Linked DNA regions of Oryzias latipes. Each later gene encodes a partner of the first gene's protein in a complex. Links are inferred from orthologs where the notes say so. Each region holds a gene or a part of one and is shown in the gene's direction. Other genes may lie near its edges. The genes, in order: smarcd1, phf10, smarcc1, dpf1, pbrm1 and smarcc2.

The links.
Region 2: smarcd1 (region 1) and phf10 share a complex: the UniProt entries of both Homo sapiens proteins name them as parts of the neural progenitors-specific chromatin remodeling complex. The link is inferred for Oryzias latipes from reciprocal best matches to the Homo sapiens genes SMARCD1 and PHF10.
Region 3: smarcd1 (region 1) and smarcc1 share a complex: the UniProt entries of both Homo sapiens proteins name them as parts of the BAF complex. The link is inferred for Oryzias latipes from reciprocal best matches to the Homo sapiens genes SMARCD1 and SMARCC1.
Region 4: smarcd1 (region 1) and dpf1 share a complex: the UniProt entries of both Homo sapiens proteins name them as parts of the neuron-specific chromatin remodeling complex. The link is inferred for Oryzias latipes from reciprocal best matches to the Homo sapiens genes SMARCD1 and DPF1.
Region 5: smarcd1 (region 1) and pbrm1 share a complex: the UniProt entries of both Homo sapiens proteins name them as parts of the SWI/SNF-B (PBAF) chromatin remodeling complex. The link is inferred for Oryzias latipes from reciprocal best matches to the Homo sapiens genes SMARCD1 and PBRM1.
Region 6: smarcd1 (region 1) and smarcc2 share a complex: the UniProt entries of both Homo sapiens proteins name them as parts of the BAF complex. The link is inferred for Oryzias latipes from reciprocal best matches to the Homo sapiens genes SMARCD1 and SMARCC2.

Annotation. Positions count from the first base shown.
Region 1 is NC_019863.2:13,904,112-13,908,349, reverse strand, and holds the start of smarcd1 (SWI/SNF-related matrix-associated actin-dependent regulator of chromatin subfamily D member 1), read left to right. Parts: upstream 1-1,438; 5' UTR 1,439-1,474; coding exon 1,475-1,657; intron 1,658-4,238. UniProt on the Homo sapiens protein: Involved in transcriptional activation and repression of select genes by chromatin remodeling (alteration of DNA-nucleosome topology).
Region 2 is NC_019861.2:24,495,952-24,499,979, reverse strand, and holds the start of phf10 (PHD finger protein 10), read left to right. Parts: upstream 1-1,228; 5' UTR 1,229-1,323; coding exon 1,324-1,398; intron 1,399-2,755; coding exon 2,756-2,865; intron 2,866-2,973; coding exon 2,974-3,104; intron 3,105-3,223; coding exon 3,224-3,307; intron 3,308-3,402; coding exon 3,403-3,527; intron 3,528-3,618; coding exon 3,619-3,768; intron 3,769-3,869; coding exon 3,870-3,979; intron 3,980-4,028. Other genes in the region: rab4a (ras-related protein Rab-4A), read right to left, coding at 112-192, 804-819. UniProt on the Homo sapiens protein: Involved in transcription activity regulation by chromatin remodeling. Belongs to the neural progenitors-specific chromatin remodeling complex (npBAF complex) and is required for the proliferation of neural progenitors.
Region 3 is NC_019874.2:27,730,777-27,734,276, reverse strand, and holds part of smarcc1 (SWI/SNF complex subunit SMARCC1), read left to right. Parts: intron 1-1,795; coding exon 1,796-2,174; intron 2,175-2,279; coding exon 2,280-2,405; intron 2,406-3,500. UniProt on the Homo sapiens protein: Involved in transcriptional activation and repression of select genes by chromatin remodeling (alteration of DNA-nucleosome topology).
Region 4 is NC_019871.2:18,145,050-18,148,549, forward strand, and holds part of dpf1 (zinc finger protein neuro-d4), read left to right. Parts: coding exon 1-60; intron 61-870; coding exon 871-978; intron 979-1,699; coding exon 1,700-1,827; intron 1,828-2,707; coding exon 2,708-2,797; intron 2,798-3,500. UniProt on the Homo sapiens protein: May have an important role in developing neurons by participating in regulation of cell survival, possibly as a neurospecific transcription factor. Belongs to the neuron-specific chromatin remodeling complex (nBAF complex).
Region 5 is NC_019863.2:2,544,331-2,547,830, forward strand, and holds part of pbrm1 (protein polybromo-1), read left to right. Parts: intron 1-739; coding exon 740-897; intron 898-993; coding exon 994-1,177; intron 1,178-1,589; coding exon 1,590-1,785; intron 1,786-1,871; coding exon 1,872-2,073; intron 2,074-2,161; coding exon 2,162-2,314; intron 2,315-3,500. UniProt on the Homo sapiens protein: Involved in transcriptional activation and repression of select genes by chromatin remodeling (alteration of DNA-nucleosome topology). Required for the stability of the SWI/SNF chromatin remodeling complex SWI/SNF-B (PBAF).
Region 6 is NC_019863.2:4,293,630-4,297,129, reverse strand, and holds part of smarcc2 (SWI/SNF complex subunit SMARCC2), read left to right. Parts: intron 1-11; coding exon 12-74; intron 75-210; coding exon 211-469; intron 470-550; coding exon 551-864; intron 865-939; coding exon 940-1,060; intron 1,061-1,142; coding exon 1,143-1,306; intron 1,307-1,377; coding exon 1,378-1,512; intron 1,513-1,584; coding exon 1,585-1,942; intron 1,943-3,500. UniProt on the Homo sapiens protein: Involved in transcriptional activation and repression of select genes by chromatin remodeling (alteration of DNA-nucleosome topology).

The DNA of each region.
Region 1 (4,238 bases):
ATTTTCCCAATGGGCTTTTCATATTCTAACTGGATTTATTTTAATTGTGTAATATTCTTAATCATTCCTCCATGTTATTCCACAACTTCACCCAAAAGCAAAAATGCACATCGTTTTTTGTGTTGTCCTTACACAAGGTTGTTTGATGTCATTTTTCTTTCTGCAGTACAAAAGAAGTAAAGACCCATGAAATTAGGTTTACTCTGATTCTCGTATATACTAGCAGAAAACAGAAAGCCCAAACAAACAGGCATCACAAAATACCAGGTGTTGTGTTGTTGAAAAGAAAATATTTTCTACTCCAGATATTGTGTTTATCTCAACATAGTCAAGTTCTGGACTTGTAGAGACAAAAAGTGTCACATGTTACTTAGCAAAATGATGGAAAGAAACAATCCTGTAGCTGAAAACGTCATCATCAAGATTTCTATTTTATAAAACCTTCTAAAAACATTCAGAAATAACCTGCAAATATGTACACAAATAGAAGTTAGTTAAAAACATACATGATTGTTTTTTTAAAGGATATGATACAAAAATATGAATAGTTACATTAATAAAAATCAAATGATTTTCTCATTTGCAAAACAGTCATATATTATGAAAAATGAAAAATATCAGCAATCCACTGTTGAACCAATTGATTTTGTACTGTAGCCTAAATTAAAATGAAAACTTTTATTTTTAAATGTGTTCTTTAAAAGTTAATAATGTTTTGGGGCATTTTGTTTTGCTCTAAGTTTTATTTTGTTCGATAAGAGAAAATTGAAAAACAATGTATTCTGTTTTGATAAATGAAAGACATATAGAAGGCAATAGAACAGATTAGTGAATTCACATGAAAAGAAAGAAGACAATTTAATAGCGTCCTAAATTACTCCAATATGGTTGGCCTACCCGTTGACTTTATTCTTGTGCATATAATCATGTAAATTGAATGCTGGTTGTTAGGACTTGTCAGGACTGTATTACTCCAGCTAATTAAAATGTTCTTTCTTTTTTTATTTTAATTGTTTTATTTTCTACAGACCAGACAGATTTTTTCGTGTTTTTAATATATATTTTAAACTATATATGAATAATATTAATACATATACATGTATATATTGATATATATTAATACATATTTTAAACTACATGAACTATACTTTTATAGTTTTTCTTGTAGTTTTCATGAGTAGCTGCCCAGCCTGTTTGTTGTTTTTTGCTCTTGTATTTAAAAAAAATAGCACGAAAAACAAAACAAAAAAACTTCACGAAAAATACTAAAATATTATAAAGGAACATACTAAATGTTTTTTTTAAGAAATAGCCTATATTACGCCTTCATACCCCACAATTATCCTTTGTCTCTTAATGTGGGCAATCGTGCAGTGTCAAAAGAGAACAGTAGAGGGCGCTATCGCAAAGTGAACGCCTCAGTTGCTCTCGCGTTAGTTCCTTTGCTCCACCGGAGGCGACATCTAGTGAGGAGATGGCGTCCAGAGGGGGGTTTCAGTCTGCACCGACTGGTGGTGGTGGAGCTGTTGGACCTGGACAACCTGTACCCGGTGCTGGACCAGGCATGGGACCCGGGACTCCCACTGGAAGAATGGGTCCATCTTCGGCTGGTCAGAACCACATGTACCGATCTCCAATGCCTGGGCCTGGGTACCCGGTGAGTTATCACTCCATCTTTGCGTCAATGCTAGCCGGTCCGCTAGTAGAACAAAGCCACTCATCGCTGCTTTGTCGCCAATGGCTAACATTAACCCCCGTCCCCCTACAGGCCCAGTTCAATAGAACTTAAGAAACCCATTAAAAGTAATCGACTTTTAATAAATATTTTTTTCGAGCGCTCTGGCGGACTTTTATGAGTTTATCATGTTTGAATTTGCTAAACCTCCCGCTCGCTAACAGAAGGTTAGCTTACATGAAACTGTGCTACCTCGCCTGCTAACGCTAACTAGTAACTAGTTACTGTGTTACGCTCGTCGTAGTTCTCTAGTTACTGATTGTGTGGAGTTAACTGGCATATACAGATTGATTAAATCTATCAACTTTTATGAATACGTCTCGTTTTGACGGGATCCATTGATTTCCTCTGGGAAATCTGAAAGTAAAAAGTCCGCCTCTCAGGAACCGTACTCTGCGAAAACATCTGGCTGCTACCGTCATGTGAGTCTAAATTCAAATTTGCTGAAAGGTAATTTCCGAAAACCCGCTTGTATTTGTCGCGTCTCTCTTTGCTGACGTTTAAAAATTGGCATTTGATTTGACTTCTACTTAACGGAACCATTGAGTTTTTGGTCAGGTTTTAGGTGTAACTCCGCCGTCGAGAACTTCTACTTGTTAATAATACAACGCTTGGTAATGTTTTGCTATTAAAGTACACGCAACATAGTTTACTCATACATTGCAGTTGTTAAACTTAAAAAGGGGGGGGGGGGGGGGGCATGGTAAACTTAAAAGTCCACCCACCTACCTACCAACCTGAATTAATTTTTTTAAAATAAAGACATGCACCCAATTTTGAGAGGAGTCTTCATACTTTTAACCAATTACAAATGAGGTAAACTCAGAATTTACTTGAGGGCATGATAAATATTTTTAGAAATTGAAGATCTTAACCTTGAAAAACTTCAAAAAATGTTTTATTTTTATAAACTAGCAGGGAATGGAGAAGTATCTTATTTATAAATCTATCAAGATCGTTTGATTCTTAATTGATGGAAAGGTGGGTGGTGATGTCATTGTCTGTATAAGAGAACTGGACTGAGCGAGTCTGACGTCACCCGTAGAAAGAAAAAAAAAACGCCTTACTTTCAGCTCCAGCAAAATGAATCCATCAGTCGCTGTTAGATCTGCAGTACACTCATCCCCATGTTGGAGCCAGACCACCTAAGTAAACGGTGATGAGCCTGCGTCTGTAGGAGTCGACGCTTCTATGGCAACTCCTGTCGCCAATCAGGATTAAGCTTTTATCTTAGTCCACATCTCTGCCACTGAAAGCAGGCTCAGGAGAGTCTGTCAATTAAACATTTCAATCATTAGAGGCGGGGTTTACACACGTTCGAGCAGGTACTTCCTATTTGACATCCGGGGTGGGGGTGGGGGGTCACTTAGTCCAGTTCTATTAGGCGGGGATGTTTTGGTGGAAACAAATTGTGGAACTTGAGGGGAAAGTAACATGGCAGTGAAAAATGATGAGGGAAGTGAGCTGTTAGTGGCGGGCTAACATAAATTAAAATGGAACGTGGAAGTACAGCTAGCTAGTTTGGTGATTCAAATTTTAGTGTGGAGTAGTGTACGCAGCAACCTTTGTCACCGTTTTCAAGAAGTTTAACATTAATGCTAAAGATGTTTGTTGTGTTGAAACAGACTAAGAGAAAGAGTTTACATTTCTGCAGTTCTTTTAGGGTTTTAAAAGTGTCCTAGATGTTCAGACTTCATATTTACAATACCTAGACCAAATCCAAGTTCTTCCCCCACTTCTACTTCTCCCTACACCTACAGTTAGCCCTCCAAATGGAGTGTCATATAAAAATAGTCATTTAGACGTCACTCTGACTCGATGAGGTCATCAATCGTCGTCGGTCAGCCACGTTAGCGGGTGGCGATCAGAAGTAAATAACGTGGGTTTTAGAACATTAAAAAGCCATGCTAAAACAAAAAGTATTTACTTACATTTACGTGTAAACTTCTGTGCTTCAAGGCACACCCACTTGCAGAGATACGTTTCTCTTTTGCGGCACAGAACATGCGGAACACCTTTGCGTTGGAGGGCTCCGTATCCCTCCGCGCAGTGAAGGTTTTCCATTCCAAAAACTAACACCCCTACCCCCAAATGCCCCTACAATTGGAGGGAAAGAGAGAAGCTGGAGGGGTAGGGGAAGAATTTGGATTGAACCCTAGTGGGTTTATGTTGAAGTCTGTTTATCTAAAAGACTTTCGATGAAAAAATGTTTTTCACTAAGGCAGTGATTTGGCTACAGTTGTTTATTTTTGTGATTTAAAGACCAATCCCACTAAAGGATACTGTTGACTGTTCCATCTAGGCCTTCACGATAAATGGCAAATTTCTCGTTATCGCGATATCAAGCTGTGCAATCCGCATATAGCAAAAGACAGCGAAAATCGCAATAAATTGTTACTTTAAATGTGCTAAAACAATCTTATGACAGCTTGTAATTATTTAGCAAATCAAATAAATCTATTTATGGATGAAGCCTTTTTGTTAGAAGCTCGCCTCCCATGAA
Region 2 (4,028 bases), on another chromosome or scaffold:
TAACGACTGTCTTTGAGTGGGACCTTAAAGATATTTAAATAAAAGAGTCGGGCAATTACTGTGTCATTATTATAAAGCTTTTTCTAGTGATTACAACTGAAGCAAACTTACATCTCTTTTCTATGAACTGGTGCAGAAGGCAGGATTTGCCTGTTCCAGCATTTCCAATCACTAGGAATTTAAACAGAAAGTCTGCAGAGGGAACACAGTAGTAACATAGATAAAGCAAACAGGGTTTGAATATGCTGCCTTGTTATTAATAAACTCAACTATTCTTAATTTTTTTTTGATACAGTTGTTGACATGTACACATCTGATGTCTACACTATACAAATCAAGACAAATGTGTCGTAAACAGATCGAACAAAGCCTTATATATATATATTTATTCTTTACTCCCACTAAGATAATTATCATGTTTAATGTTGGTTCAATTGATTGAACAGTTGTAGCATAGTGTAATTTGAGCAATGCCTCACAAAACACAGAGATATCCTATCATCACTTGCGTTTGCAAAAGAAAAGCGGGAGTCTCTTGCTTTGTGTCCTAGTGCTTATCCCGGGAACAATAGCATCTCCTATAGTCACAGCTTCTTGCATTATAAAGCTTTACTAATACACCTGTACCCGGAAGGCAGATTTATTAACGCTGACATTTGAGTTTAAAGGCCAAAACCTTCCTACTCCTCAGTGGCTCGGTTAGCCTGCCAGCTAGCTATTTGTTTACGAAGGGACCTCATCATCCCTTTCCTGCCATCTGTGTGTGAGATTCTAACGGGTATAAAGCAAGACAGCCTCCTTACCGTAAGACTCCGACATCCTCGGTGTGTCAGCTAAGCTGCAAGGCAGAGAAAGGCGAAACTGTTATTTGTTTAGCTTGCTAAGTGATGGAAATAGTCCTGTTGGTGATTTCCTTGGATTCTATGATTTCCTCCTCCAACTTCCTGTACGGTGTGTGTGGGTTTTTTTTCTTCAAAATAAAAGCATTCTGAAATGACACTTATGCCACATAGTCCTCAAACTACCGCGTGGGGGTGATGTTTGGATATGTTCTTATGGTTTCAATTAATGAAAAATAAATTCTCGCCGTTCTAAGTAAATTTTAAAAACAGCCCATTTCGCTGAGAGTTTTATCTATATGTAAATTAATTGGTTTGCATGTTGTGTACAAATTCTCTCTTTTTAACATATTTTTTGGAGGATCTAGGAGGTGGCGCTCTGAATTTACACAAACGTCAACCGAGTCCGTGGTTGTCCAAAGAAGAAGAAACGTAGTTTCCCCCGCTAATCATTAGCCTAGCTGTGGGCATTATTTATCTTAAAATGGCTACATTATTCCCTATTATTAGACCACCAAGTGATAGCAGTCCCGCTACTCCTGGGGCGCACTCCATGAAGGTGATTTTTTTCTACTTTGATAAATATCCATTAGCTGTTGTTTACGGGGAAACATGACGATGTTTTGCTAACAGATAGCTAGCTAGCCAACGGACGTTTCCATTCACTAGGACAACTGTCAGCCACTTTTAGCAAAATCATTTGTTTTCAAATGTGCTCAAATTACTTCCTCTTGAAGTAATTTGCTCCTATTATTCGTGTATTTCTCTATTAGTTTGCAACGTTGAAAAAATATATAAATAAAAAAAAACTAGATTGTGTAGCCATTTAAATATAAAGTGTTGCTAATTTTTTCCCTGTGTAATCCTAGTCAAACTAGTTTTGCACATGTTCCCATTTTCACAATAATACGGAGCCCCTAAAGGGCCATTGATGAAAAAAAAAAAAACTTGAGGAAATTTTTTTTTTTTGAAGTAAAAAAAAATTCTTTGAGCTAAAAATTTTTTTTTTGAAGTAAATAGGAAAAAAAACTAACTGGTGCGCACCAGTTAGTTTCAGGTGCGCACCAGTTAGTATCAGGTGCGCACCAGTTAGTTTCAGGTGCGCACCAGTTAGTATCAGAAGATATCAGATAGTTGACCTGCTTGCTCATTGTGCACCAAGTAGCTACAGTTGTCTTGAGAATGGCTAAAGTTGAGGATATGGACCTTATAAACTTTCTGAAAACACGAAATATTACTGACAATGTCATAATGTCACCTGAAACTAATTGGTGCGCAGCTGAAACTAACTGGTGGGCACCTGATACTAACTGGTGCGCACCTGAAACTAACTGGTGGGCACCTGATACTAACTGGTGCGCACCTGAAACTAACTGGTGCGCACCTGAAACTAACTGGTGCGCACCTGATACTAACTGGTGCGCACCTGATACTAACTGGTGCGCACCTGAAACTAACTGGTGCGCACCTGATACTAACTGGTGCGCACCTGATACTAACTGGTGCGCACCTGATACTAACTGGTGCGCACCTGATACTAACTGGTGCGCACCTGATACTAACTGGTGCGCACCTGATACTAACTGGTGCGCACCTGAAACTAACTGGTGCGCACCTGATACTAACTGGTGTGCACCTGAAACTAACTAACTGGTGCGCACCAGTTAGTTTCAGGTGGGCACCAGTTAGTTTTTTTTTTCCTATTTACTTCAAAAAAAATTTTTTTTACTCCAAAAGAATTTTTTTTACTCCAAGAGAATTTTTTTTTACTTCAAAAAAAAAATTTTTTCCTCCATTTTTTTTTTTTCATCAATGGCCCTTTAGGGGCTCCGTACAATAAGCTTTTCGATTCTATATATTTTGGTGTTCATCTGTTTGAAAAAAAATGTTGGTGAATCTTTTTTCCACTTCTGTAGGAAGATGTAATTGATGAGGTATCTAATGATGGGAGCCAGCCACCGAAAAGGAGGAGAATGGGTTCAGGGGACAGCTCTCGGAGCTGTGACACCTTCAGCCAAGAGCTTGGGTAGGCTACTTGTTTTTGCATTACAATTTGCCATTATTCTTAAGTAATTGCGTCAGATACCAACTTATAAATCTAATGTGTTGTTCCTGCCCCCACCTCCTCATCTAGGGTGACTTATTTCCCAGCAGAAAACCTAATAGAGTATAAATGGCCTCCTGATGATACAGGAGAATATTACATGCTGCAAGAACAAATCAGCGAGTATTTGGGTGTCACGTCATTCAAACGCAAATATCCTGGTAAGAATTGAACAATAATTCACAAAATGATCAGGAAAGGAAATGTTTAAGTGCGGTTGATTTAGCAACTGCCCAAATTATGTTTTGACCAGGGAATTTTTTTTAACATTCTTGTGCAGATATGGAGAGGAGAGACCTGTCTCACAAAGAAAAGCTCTACCTACGTGAGCAAAATGTTATCACTGAGACGCAGTGCACCCTGGGTACGAGCCAACCCTAAAACTCTTTGTTAATGCACAGACTTCATACATTTATTTATATTTCTTACATAATGTAGTGCTGTTGTATTTATATGCAGGATTGACAGCTTTGCGGAGCGATGAAGTGATCGACTTGATGATAAAGGAGTATCCAACCAAACACTCTGAGTACTCTGTGATATTGCAGGAAAAGGAGCGTCAGAGAATAGCTAAGGAGTACTCTGTAAGAACACCAGACTAGAACAACCTTTAGTTTTTATTAGAAATTGTCGAAACGCACGAACAAATAGTTGTACTCTCTTGTGCTTTTGCAGCAAATGCAGCAGCAGAACCCTCAGAAAGTGGAGGCAAGCAAGGTTCCTGAGTACATAAAGAAAGCTGCAAAAAAAGCTGCTGAGTTTAACAGCATCTTCAACAGGGAGCGAATGGAAGAGAGGAGAGCTTACTTTGACCTCCAGACTCACGTAAGTCTAATGGCAGATGGTTTAATAAATCTGCATCAGTGCAACGTTGGTTGAGCTTTTGACTGATGCAACTCCTTTTTGTCCTCTGCTTTTTGTCTCAGGTTATTCAGGTGCCCCAGGGAAGGTTCAAAGTTCTTGCTCCAGAACTAACCAGAACAGGACCCTACCCTGTTGCTCTTATCCCAGGTCAATTCCAAGATTACTATAAAAGGTACGTTCCATAACTGTTAGCTCTTCGTAAGTGACAGTAGTCTCTCAGT
Region 3 (3,500 bases), on another chromosome or scaffold:
CACACTTTTAACCCTGCGGCTTATTCAATGATGCAGCTAATTTGTGCACTTTTTTCTAACGCCCGCTAGGGGCGCTCAAGCAGAAAAGGTAAGCGTGAGACGGGGGGATGCAAGATTAATGTAAATTCCCGCTTTGAGAATGAATAACACAAACAGATACTCACGGGGAATTCAAGAAGAACAGCAGTTGGATCTAGCTGTCAGTCATCTGAACTGTCACTCACATAACTGACTGCAATGGAAAGCTATCCAGAAACCATGCACCTTTTGACTCTGAAAAGTCTCAGGAGGAGTATATGGGCGAAGCTGAATGCATACTCTCATTTCCAGCATCAAGCAGATTTATTTAGACACACCCACAAGCAGCCAAACAGCATGAATGTCACTTCTGCTCTTTGACCCCTCAGTCACAGTGCAACAAAAAGAAACACCAATGCTCAGCCCTATTTTGGCCGCATCCCATAATCCCTTGCTGCTATTAGACCCAACAAGCACGTGACCGTCACTACAATATGACGCAGCTTTCAAGTTAAAAGCAATCGTTAAAGCAGTGTGAAAAAATCCACCATCACCAATGGGTTTAGAAAAGCCGGTCTGCTGCGTGACGGAAAGGACAGCGCAAGCTCAGGAGTGAATTTGCCTCAGGATAAGAGTGACACTGACAGCGACAACGAAGGAGACACTGAGAGAAGAATATCGAAGAATATCTGTGGCTATTCCAATCCAACACTGAGGAGGAAGACTGCCATGGTTTCAGTGCACAGGACAAAGATGAAGAAAGCTCTCAATGACTTTTACGTTCATGTTTTTTAAACCAGCCCTGTTACTACCATATTGCTGCTGTTCCGAAAGAAAAGCTTAGGTATACCATTAAAACTTTGAAAACTCTTTCTGTGTACCGTCTTTCTTTGTAAATATATCATGTGTTGAACCTTTCCTGCGATTACTTTTTTTTCTTTCTTTCTTCTCCGCCAAAGGTTGTTCACTTCCCCGTTAGGACCCTCAGAGCCTCCAGAGTGGGTTAATAAAGAATCATTCATCTTCTTCTGGGGGAAACCTTCATTTATCACCCCCAACACACTTGCTCTCACTCGGTGCATGCGCGCTCTCTCTTCCTTCCGCTGCACGCACTCCCTCCTCCTTCTCACACACGTGTGCGCGGTTTCAGCACATTCACATCCTCAATCTACAACACAGAGTGGTGACCCGGGGGTTAGCTCGCCTTCAGCCTCTTAGACTCATGGGAAGTGGGGAATCGTGGGTGGAAAGTTCCTCAACCATGACTGAGGGGGCTGTGAACAGAAGTGAGATCCATGCTGTTTGGCTGTTAGTGAGTGTGTTCAAATAAATCGGCTACAATGCCGGAAAGGACAATATGAAATCTGCGTTTGCAGCTCCCTTTCTGACACTGTACGACACGTGCAGAACAAAGACTACAACATGTTTATACGGGCGCATGCGCCTGATATACAGGTGCGGCTTGTGTGTGTGTGTGTATAAAACAGCTAACTGTTTGAAAATGTAAAGGGTGCAGCTTGTAATCTGGTCCGCTCTATCGCCCGGAATTTATGTTACATGTCTATTCTCATGTTTGCCTGAGAGAAGTGTCTAAAATGTATTGGGGAGTTTTACAGCCTGAAAACTAGAATCCTACTTGGTGGATTTCACCAGTTGCAGGTTATTAATGGAACGTATCCCCGGCCATAAATGAGGGACCACTGTACCTGGAAAGATCGTGTGTTGTTGCAGTGTGACATGTTGACTGTTGTTGTGATTCACTGCTCCTTCTTTGCAGTTGGAGCTTCAGCGGCAGCAGCTCCTCACAGAGCGACAGGCGTTCCACATGGAGCAGCTCAAGTACGCAGAGATGAAGGCACGCCAGCAGATGGAGCAGCAAGCTGCCGCTGCAGCCGCCGCCGCTGCTCAGGCCCAAGGGCAGGGACAACCCCCCGGTCCCGGACATCACCACGGGCCCCAGGGTCCTGGACCCCATTCTGGACCCCCTCCACCAGGCATGCACCCTGGAGGGCCTCCACCCCACCACGGAGCGCCTCCACCTCACCACGGAGCACCTCCACCCCATCTTGGAGGTCCTCCTGCTGCTGCAGCAATGCACCCTGGTTACCCGCCCATGGCTCACCACCCCATGGCCCCCCACCACCCTGGACCGACGGGTAAAGACAATGGTTTTCGGAAGAATCATCGAATTTCATTTTAGCTTTCTTCTTGTTCATAATGTGGCATTCCAATAAAGTGGCCTCGTCTTTTCCTCATTGTAGGACCGATGGGACCAGGTCAGCCAATGCCTGGGCGTATGATGTCCGGGCCACCGTCTGCCGGACCCCCTCCTGGGGGAATGCCTCCCATGATGCCTCCCCGTCACCCGGGAGCTCCCAACGGCATGTGTGAGTACCAAAGTCTTCTTCTATGTTTACATTGTTTTTCTAATTTCAAAAGGTATCGCCTTTTTTTTTCAGACTATTAGGTAAACATAGTTTTCTTTGTTTTTGGTGACAAACTCATCTGAACCTCTTTCCTGAGGGGAGGTGTCTTTAAAGCAAAAACCACAAAGCAAACCTGTTCAGGGAATTCACATCCGTCTGACTCGAAGCAGACAGCTGGTATTTACTCCAAATGTCAGCTAAACGCTGTTGTTTATTATTTTTGCACCAATGTGGTCAAACTTTTCATGTAGCAGGAAGTCGTGTTTCTGACAGCTGGGGTGCTGGTTTGGCTCCAGCTTTCATTCCAGAAATGTCTTAACTGATTCAGAAAAAAATGCCATCAACACATCATCCAGTGCTCCCAGTTATGATCAAGTTTGTTTACGTCAGGCTAGCTGACTGAGGTTAACCCAGGCGTGGGCAAACTGTGGCCCGCCCAGCTGAAATAAATTATACAGTTTATTAATGCCAATGTTTTATTTTCTGGTATCCCTATAGATGGTACACTACAAATAAATTGACCTTTGTTTTAGGTGCAGAAAGTTATTCTGCATTCATGTCGTGGTGGAAGATTTGGGGTTTTTGTTTTGTTCGTGTGTCATTTTTGTAATTCCAGTGGATTCCGATCAGAGAAAAGCAGATTTGTGCTGGAATGCTACACTTCGTATTGGTTAACATTTACGTCTACCAAGTATAAAGTTTACATTGATAGTGTCGACACTTCACTGCTGTACAATGTTGAGTTTTGGCTCAAAGCTTCAGCTTCAGAATCTTTTGGAATTACGTCAACTGTATAGAGTTACGGTAAATCAGAGAACAGCAACACTGTAGGTCAAGCTCTGGTGTTGAAGGTTACCTGAACTATTCCCTTGGATATAGGCATTGGCTAATGAATAAAAATGATTCTTTTAAGCGTTAAACGCTGGAGATGTCGCCAGCGTCACCTAAATAAACACACGCTCTTTAAACTGTAACTTCTTTGTAACCCTAACCGCATCTCTTCAACCATTTTAACGGATTCTGGTACGAAGAAAAGCAAATTTGCAAATTGGCTTC
Region 4 (3,500 bases), on another chromosome or scaffold:
AGACCGGCGTGGCTCAAAGCAACTGTTATATCTGGATGGAGAAGAACCACCGTGGGCCAGGTGTGTGCCTCTGTCTGTGTGTTTGTGTGCATGTTTGGGAATTTGTTTATGTGTTTGTGCTTCCAAGCTGTTAGTAAACAACAATAGTTCTGTACAATAATTTGTCCTCCCGCCTCATCTCTTCCTGTGATAGTTTCTGTCTTCATCCTCCTCATCATCAGACCTCCTATCCTCCACAACTCTAAGTGCATGCATGTGTGCCTCTGCCTCCCCTTTCTGAGTGTTTCTGCAGAGACTCAGATGGCTCTGTAGGCAGCAAAATGCCACTGGCATAGCAGTAAATGCACGGGAGTCTGCCTCTCTGTGTTTGCTGCTGAAACAATATTAGTTTGTTTGACACATGGAGCTACAATCCATCAACTCTAGATGCATCAGAAATATGAGCACAACACTGGTGTGTGAAAAGCAATGTCCTATTTAACTCACAAAAGATGATGTGAAATTAAGGCCTGGTTAAAAATAACAAGGACAAACACGAATGCATTTATCTTAAAATGATTAATATGCTTCTCTGTTATTTTCCTGATTTGACCACAAAAGAGCTTTCTTGGAATCACAGGATCAGGCTTGGACCTCAGTGCACTCCAACAGTTAATTGGAGGCTGGAAACACACAACTCCAAGAAATTTTTATAAAAATGAGCAACTGTTGTGTGTGGAACAACAATAATTTGTGCAATTGTCTCCCAGTGAAATTTGCTATTTACTAACAGACGTGTGCACTGGGGCAATATTCTGATGTCACCCGGAGTATTCTGAGGGGAGGGCCTGAATTGTGTTTTTTCTCTGTTTTTCTGTGTCTTACGCTCAGGTCACGCCCCGGGTCAGCTTTACACATATCCAGCTCGCTGCTGGCGCAAGAAGAGACGGCTAAACATCTTGGAGGACCCTCGGCTTGTTCCTATAGAGTTTAAGATTGGTGAGTGTTTGGAAAAACAGTACATCAAGTCATGGGTTTCTATCCTTATCACCTGAATCTGAAGAAAGAAGAGCATCTGTCTTCTGATGTCAGTGTTGCATGTCTTGGAGAAGTTTCTCATGAACACGAGGCACTCAGAAACATCATCCAGAAGACCAGAGTTTAGAGATCTCTGGACTCCTGTGACTCGTTGTGGTTTGTCTGGACCGTCACCTGCTTCAGTCTCACAGCAGAACATTTTGGTTTCCAGGCATGAGCAGGACTAGTCTGTGTGGGTCAGATCATAAAATGCAACTGAAAAGTTTTGCATCAAAGTTGAAAACTTGTTTTTGTGTGAAGGTTTTTTGGTGCAAATACTCAGCAGACAGAAATATAGTTGGATTCTCACTAGAAGGACTTTATTGCTTTCACTCAAATATAAACATTTTAGTATTTCAGAGATCTCCAGTTGTGCTGGAGTTTTCCCATGTTTTAGTTTTACCTCAGACATGTTTGCTGCACAGACAAATGTTCATGTTCGTATTCGTGCATGCTGGAACCCATCTGCTCAGCCATCATGAAATGATCACCAACATTCTTTTTAAGCTTGGTACTGTTTAACCTTAGCTTTGGTGTTCCAAGTGAGTCCAGCCTCTGGATGTTGCAGACGCTGCTATTCTTGTTGCTTCCTTTTCCTTTAGCCATTCTCCATAACACTGAGATTGCTGCTGTTTGTTTTCAGACTATGAAGCCTCTTTAAAGAAGGAGGGGGGGATCCCAGATGGTCCTGTTTTGGAGTCACTGCTTGCTGGGGAAACCCTGGACAAGAAGGTGGAAACCAAGGAGGAAGAGCCGATGAGTGAATGTCAGGTGAGGCCTTTCTTCACGTTTGTTTTTTTTACATCTGCTGTTTTGTGTTTTCGGGAACTGGCAGAATGTTAAATTTTGTCATCTGAAAGCTCATAGGCGGTGGAAAAATCCTGTCAAACATGTGCTCTCCCTGTCATTCCAAATAAGGGGCTTCATCAACCAACTTCTTTAAAATGTTTTTTTAATTTAATTTGGTTTAAATTAACATGCAAATTCTGGGTTTAATCTTGTAGATGTTAGTGTTTAATAATAATAATAATTGATACTTTATTAATCCCACAATGGGGAAATTCTTCTCTGCATTTGACCCATCCCCTGGGGGAGTGGTGAGTTGCAGCCGAACCGCGCTCGGGAGGCAGTAGCGTTAAGAAACTTGCCCAAGGACCCTCACTGGGTGTTTCAGCTCTTATCCAAAAGGCTTTGTAAGCCTTTTGGATAAGAGCTGAAACAGAGGTGAAACGTCTTCAACTTTAAAAAACCAAGTCCAGATGACAACCTTTAAACCTACTGATTGAATCTACCTGGATGAATGAGAGTCTTCATAGACATTTCTCTTAATTGTTGTCTAAATTAGTTTTAGCCATTAGGCCTACAACCAGAAATGTAGATCATTGTTCTTTGGTGTGTTTCACCAATATGCAAGTTCTTACTTGCCTCCTAGTGAGTTAACTTGTTGTGTATTTTAAGTTATGTTGACTTTTATTAATTAAAACTGGTGCAGTAAAATGGAAATTATGTATTAAATGTTTTTTTGTTTATGTATCACTAGTCAGATCAGTATTGTAGTATTTATCACTAATATTGCATATTTCAAGTTATTTTCATATTGTGGAGCTCTAAAATGACCAAACCAAACCGTCAGTCTGTCTCTGTGTCATAGAAGCTGCTGGTTGGAGATTTCCCTCATGAACTGGAGGTGGACGAGATGGAGGAAGATGTTCCAAAGCGCAAGAATCGTACCAAAGGACGGGTACGCTGGCAACAGACCTTTATTTTTTTCTTTTGTACTATGAAACTATAATGGCCTTTTCCAAACCAGAGCCTGTTCACAAGTTCAATCTGTGAAATCTCGTCAAAGATCAAGCAGTTGCGTGTCAGGAAGTGAAAACCTTTCTGTTAGTGTGTCTCAGAGCGACACAGTTGTGCGTCTTGAAGCCAGCATGGCATGTGGTCACAATCAGACAGCATCTGGCAAAGCAACACTTTTTAAAGTGAACATACACACTCATCGATATTAAACTATGTACTCAGAAACTTTTGTTTTTTTATTCTTTTGGAGAGAATTTGATTAGACAGAGATCCCCCCCCCCCCCGTACACACACATGCACAGATTCTTTTTGTGCATCCTATGGGCGGATAATCAAGTGTTAACAATGTATTCTGAAAATCCTCCTACACACAACACAGGAAACACACACAGACGCACAGACACACACCAGCTCAGACACCAGGGTCGCTAATTGGAACTGTTGCTCCCCTGCTAGGTGTCATCAGCCCCCTCCTGCTGGAAGTGGAGCTTTACACTGAGAGCAGATGATTAGAATGCAAACGTGCATGCTGTTCTGCTGTGTGTGTGTGTGTGCGTGCGTGCATGAAGACACGTGAAAACAAAAGCGAGGTCTGTTCTGTTATGTTCATTTTCTTCAGAGAGCGTGTGAAAGACTCAGTGGCA
Region 5 (3,500 bases), about 11 Mb from region 1:
AAAGATCCACTCCAACTAGCTACTGATCTATTCTTAAAGTGTTCCTGGTGATCTTATAATAATTGTTTATTTTAACCCCAATCAAAAAACTTTTTCTGTAGAGCGACAGTAGTTCATTAGAGGTTAGCCTATGAGTTGCAGGTGAGGTTGTTGGCATGGAGTAAGCCTCCCTTCATTTCCCATCATCGCTTTGTTCACACTCTCTCCCGCTAGCTCACAACCCCAACCTCACGTTACTGGTGCAACAAAAATGGTGAGCAGTCTCAGAGTTATCCAGCCGTGCAGTTTAGATCCAGATTCCAGCTCAGACGAGTAAAACAAAGACGTTCACGGATCCGTTTGTCTGACAGTGGATGCATCAGAATAGAGCAGAGCTGGGAGCTTGTGGCCGGCTGTTAATAGTTTCTGCGTAACAGCTACAAGCTTTTTTAAATGTCAATTTTTCGTCTGCCCCTGATTACAAACAATTTGAACAAAGAAATACTCAAATATGCTATTTTCATCTGAATTTTTCCTCCAACTTTAGAATAGTCCCATAAAACCGTGTTAAAAACACTAAAAACAACCTTTTTCATTGTAGTGGGTCTTTAAAGTTTTTGTACTCTATGCTCTGAAATATTACATAATGTTGTTTTATTTTGAAATGCAGATTGAAAGGACAAAGCTGCATCTGTTGAATCTTTCTGAAGCCATTTGAATTGTTTACTTTGGCACTTACTTTTCTTTATGTGTTCAACAGAATTGAGAAGATGTGGATCCGAGATGGAGCGGGTTACTTCTTTGGCCCAATTTTTATCCATCCTGAAGAGACGGAGCACGAACCCACCAAGATGTTCTACAAGAAGGAAGTGTTCCTTAGCAACCTGGAGGAGACTTGTCCAATGACCTGCATCATAGGTAGCCTTCTGCTGTGATTTGGAAGCATCTGCTCCAACGTGATGGTTTATTGTTTTGAAGATGCAGTCATTATCAGGCTATTCCTCCTCTTTGCAGGAAAGTGTGTCGTTTTGTCCTTCAAAGAGTTCCTGTCATGTCGGCCCACTGAAGTGCCCGAAGATGATGTTCTGCTTTGTGAGAGTCGCTACATTGAAAGTGAAAAACAGATGAAGAAGTTCAAGGGTCTGAAGCGTTTCTCGCTCTCTGGAAAGGTGGTAGAGGATGAAATCTATTATTTTAGGTGAACCTTTTTTTTTGGTGTGTTTTTAATTTGTTAATTTTAATCTAATTTATTTTCCTTTTATTCATTTTATTTATTTCAAACTGATAAATTAAAAAATAATCATAAACAGAGGTATAATGATAAATGATAAATGTGAAAAGTTCTAAAAGGACTTTGGATGAAGTTTGACAACTTGTTGAGTCCAAACTTACATTTATACAAACGATATTTGTAAAGAATTACAGGAAAATGGTGAACATAAGTGAACATTTTATGTATTATAAAATTTATACATTATATATTATTATATATATTCCAGTGTTTTTATGTTCACGAAAACAGCTTTTTCTCACCGTTTTAGTCCTCTAATTATTAGGTTTTGGTTTGAATTCTTGAGAGTGAATTCTTTTATGCGTTCGGTTTTGCACAGGAAGCTCATAGTTCCTCAGAAAGAACCCTCACCGCTGCTCAATCGGAAGATCGAGAAGCTGGAGGCTAAATTTGCTGACATGACCGATGAAGAACTTGAAGAACTTGGGGATGATGACGGCGAGCTGGGCGACCAGTCTCACATGCAGTCCTCCATGTCTGGTGACCTGGATCTGCTGTCCTACACGCCTCCACAGGTCAGAGTGAATCCGTGAAGGGGGGGAATGGTCTGTGTTTAGCGCTGTATCGTTTTTATGTGGCATTCTAACGTGCTTGGTTACAGTCCACCCCTAAATCCATAAAGGGGCTGTCAAAAAAGGAGGGATCGAAGCGAAAGATCAACATGAGTGGATACATCCTGTTCAGCAGCGAGATGCGGGCTGTCATCAAAGCTCAGCACCCAGACTTCTCCTTTGGGGAGTTGAGCCGGCTGGTTGGCACGGAGTGGAGGAACCTGGAGACTTCCAGGAAAGCAGAGTACGAGGGTAAGAGGATTTTCTTGCTGTGAAAAATTAATGCATCTTGTTTTTCTTGTCTTTTAAAGCCAACTCACTGTTTTTTGTTGCATTGCAGAGCGAGCAGCTAAAGTAGCAGAGCAGCAGGAGCGTGACAGGACCCAGCATCAGACCTTCCTTAAATCAGGTACCCCAGTAGGGGCACTGATGGGGGTGGTGCCTCCCCCGACCCCCATGGGATTGCTTAATCCTGGCATGACGCCTGTGTCAGGTAACCCCTCATAAATGCAGCAGACTCCGCAGTGTACATTTGAAAGCTGCAATCTGAAGCTAAACTGCCAGAACTGTTACTCTCCTTTTGTGTTGCATCCTCATCTTTTTTGCCTTCATACACCTGTGCTCAGGGGCGGCTCCAGGAGTTTTTCCTCTGCAGTAGCTTAGGGGTTGCTAAGTAATTGTGAGGAGCTTCTAATTCAATTTTTACGTAAAAATACATTTCCAAGAAGGAAAGTTGCTAATTAATACCAGATTGTTGTCTCGTCAATAGATTGCACTTGTAAAACGTGTTAACTGTCCTGAGAAAGAGACGGAGATGTTGAAGTGAGAAGGAAAACAAAATTTATTTAAGAGAAGCTGTTGACAGTCAATGGGGGTACCGCCATCAACTGACTCTCCTTCGCTAGATTACACCCATCATTTCTACAGTCAGTCAAAACAAAACCTTTTTTTAAATAAACTTTATTGCACATTATAGCATTTTACAAAAAAATCACATTTAGGTATGCAATAAGAACACAATTGCGAATATTAAATATACATCTGTATTGAAAAGAAAAAACAAGAATAGAAACAGAAATAAGCCAGGGGGTTAAACTTTACAAGAAAATGTTGAATCTTTTACACACAGATAAGGTTTTGATTGCTTTTTGCTTCTCAGAATTACAAATACTATTAATATACAGATTTAACTCTGAAAAGAATACAATTAAACAGGAATTTCAAACAGAGAATTAATATTTGTGAATATTATATTCGACCAAAATTAGCATAGATTTAAAAGTAAACCAGAGTTCTTTATTATATTCTTATTATTATTATTTGATATTAGACCCAACAAGACATCTTTTCAGAATAAAATAAAACAAGAAGTAATTTTGTCATGGATTAAATCACAAATCTTCTGCCAGAACAGTCAAAACAAAACGTAAAATAGCATTCTGGCTCTCATTCAATAAACTTTATTAGTAACAAATGAGGAACAAACGCAAGCTCTCGAGCGCCCTCTCTGTTGAGACAATGCTACTGCGTGCTTCATGGACTGTCTTCAGTCACATTTTAACACAAAATAAACGAGACAAACATTTAATAAGAAATGGAAAGGTGTGACGTGCAATAAAATTTGGTACAATGAACATTTTTTAAATAAAGTATTAGTATATATTTGGGGTTGCTTTGTC
Region 6 (3,500 bases), about 9.6 Mb from region 1:
TTTGTGTGAAGAGCAAGAGTGCAGCGAGTTCCATGAGGGAGTGGACAGAACAAGAAACGCTACTACTCCTTGAGGTAAAACATGTCTCACGTTCATTGTTGTGGCTGTGATTTCCTGTTTTTTCCTGCTAAAACTGTGAGACATTGTGTTATGACTCTTTACTAGTAGGACAGCTGAGATGGCGCTAAATCACGTCCTCCTTTCTGTCAGGGTTTGGAGATGTACAAGGATGACTGGAACAAAGTGTCTGAACACGTGGGCAGCCGTACACAGGACGAGTGCATTCTGCACTTCCTGCGGCTGCCCATTGAAGATCCATACTTGGAGGACAGCTCCTCATCGATGGGCCCTCTGGCCTATCAGCCGGTACCCTTCAGCCAAGCAGGAAACCCCGTCATGAGCACTGTGGCCTTCCTCGCCTCTGTTGTTGACCCACGTGTGGCGTCCGCTGCGGCCAAGTCGGCTCTCGGTGACGCATTGATTCTACATGCACTGGTGATGCTTGACTAACGTTCTCCACATTTACAAGCATGAACTTCCTCCCTTTCAGAGGAATTCTCTCGGATGAAGGAGGAAGTTCCTGCTGCGCTTGTTGAGGCCCACGTACGGCGGGTGGAGGAAGCGGCGAGGGTCAGTGGCCGACAGGATCCGCTCTATGGTTTGGAAGGTAGCGGCATCGCAGGAACTGGCTTGGAGGAAGGAGAGCGTCCTGGTAGGTTTGAATCCACTGCATTCAAACTGCACAACACAGAAACCCTACGAGTGCAGCGACATTTAACTGCTGGACTTGTCTTCCCCTCAGAGGAAAGCAACGATGAAAGCAAAAATGACAACCAGTCAAATGAAGAGAAGAAAGAGGCCAAAGTATGTTGCATAGTTTAAAGTGGTGGAATTCAATTTGGGTAGGCATGTCTTAATCTGGGTTGGTTCACAACACAGGACAGCAAAGAAGGAACGATGGTGGAAGAGGAGAAGCATACAGAGAATGAGAAGAAGGAAGAAGAGAAAGGAAGAGAGGCTGAAGGAGACAGGGAAGGAGACAAGACAGAGGCGGAAATAGGTGTGAAACGATTTCTTCATGGACGGAGAAAACTGAGTTTTTCTCCAAGTTGAAAGATAAAAACCATTTTTTTTTCTTCCAGGCAATGAGGAGAAGGAAAAAGACAGAAAAGAGGAAACAGAAGAGGGACAAAGAGAAGGAGAGAGTGATGGAGAAAGAAAGGCGAAAGTGGAACGGGATGTAGGAGAAGGAAACCTGGCGACTGCTGCCGCCTCTGCTTTAGCAGCTGCTGCTGTCAAAGCCAAGGTGAAGTGAACTTCATTTCATCGCCTTCAGCCACTTCTACAACATCTGATTCTTAATCACCTATTTTCCAGCATTTAGCCGCAGTGGAAGAGAGGAAGATCAAATCCTTGGTGGCTCTGCTGGTGGAGACCCAAATGAAGAAGCTTGAGATTAAACTACGACATTTTGAAGAACTGGAAACCATTATGGACAGAGAGAGGGAGGCTGTGAGTCAGACTGGCAGAAGATCAGATCACTGAAGAAGTCCCAGTCTTAGTGTGTTCTTCCTCTGTTTGCAGCTGGAGTACCAGCGGCAGCAGCTGCTCGCCGACCGCCAGTCCTTCCACATGGAGCAGCTGAAGTACGCAGAAATGAGAGCGCGTCAGCAGCACTTCCAGCAGATTCAGCACCAGCAGCACAGCCAAGCTGGGGGCCCCCACACCAACCAGGCTGCCCCGGGCCAGCCTCCACAAAACATTACTTCAAGTCAGCAAGCTTCCAGCACACCAGCACCGCAGGCAGCCCCTAGTCCTGCACCACCAGCATCTGCAGCCGCGGCCCCTGAGTCCCAACCACATCCAGGGGCCCACACCTCTCCGCCCTGCCCACCTGGTCAGGTCCCAGCCGCCCACTCCAGCACTACACCTGCACTCAACGGTGAGTTCAGAATGAAAGCAGTGACAGGACGCTCTGAGCCTTCAAAAAAAACTACAGTAATGTTTCCCATCATGCAACTGTCTGATGACATCATGATCCAGTTTTAATAGGAAAGGCCTCCTATTTTATGGTAAAGGCTAAATCATTATTTTATTATTAAAATGACAAGTACTGGGTTTGAGAACATTTCTACTCAAATGGAATCGATTTTTTTTATAATGTGCACCAGATCAATAATCTTTTTAGAAAATTTCTAGGTATTTTATGTTAAACTGTTCCTTCCTAGTAGTTTTTAATGTAGGACACCAACCTTTTCACTAACATTTAGTTGCACCTTTTCGGTTACAGTGACTAGTTTTTTTCAAAATCTAAAATTTTTTAAAAAGAAAATTTGACAAAGGATTCATTTAATTGAATTGCTTTAAATAAAAAATCAATTAACTCGATTGATTAGAACTGACATGGATGAACTGTGGTGACTTGTGTAAACAGTGAGCTGCTGAAAGGATTTTTAAACCAAAAAAGTCAAAAACCAGAGTATATATAAAAAATATATAAATATATTTTAACAATCTGCAAAGTCAAACGTGATGTGTCAGACCGAACACAGCCGGCTGAGCTACTACACTCAGGAGATGTTAACATGCAGTGTTAAAAAGATTTAAAAACATCAAAGTCCCAAAGCTTACTCATTCACACAGGTTTTTGCTTTTCGTTGCTTGGTACCAATGACTGTATCCAAGAACTGGACTCAGTCAGTGTTATGTCACTCACAGAAAATGGTTTACTTTCAATTACAATCAAATTAAGTTAATTTTGTCACCGTTCTTTTGGTATATGCACGTTGGCATGTTGGAACCAGATAATCTCAGTAAGCAGTGATTGGATGTTTCTATGGCAAACACTTTCACCATTCAGGATTGAACTTGTTGGAAGTCCACTTAAAGTGGGCGTGAAAGAATCTGTAAAGTAAACATTTCAAATGTTCAACAGAAGACTATATACTTAATTTGATGCAAGGCCACATAGTTATCTGATTGATCAATTAATAACTTGACTAACTCGAACTACGGAATAATATCATCAGGGCTCCAGACTAACTTTTTTCACTAGGAGCACAGTGGCCCCCAACTGAAAGTTTTAGGGGCACAACCAGAAAATTTAGGGGCGCATACCGTAAATCAACATGCTAACCAAATATATTAATTTCCACTGTATTACTAATAAATACTTTAATAATAGATGCAGAAATTACAATGTGCTGTTTCAAATTCAGTGTCACATTTTATTCTGCCCTTTTGAAGATGCAACAAGAAGGTAAACTGACAGCACCATCGCTGTCATGACGGTACAAATAAGTAAAGAAAACGGATGGAAATTTATCTTGGTGACACCAAATAGGTGCAGCCAAGATGCACAATAAGCATGTTTGAGATCACCCAGATGGACTCAACGCTGCACAGATCACCTGGTGTGTGACGTATATTTTTGTTTTTGCTCCAACATCACCTGTCAATCAAAACAAAAATATCACGAGAAAGGGGTGGGAGCAAGGCCC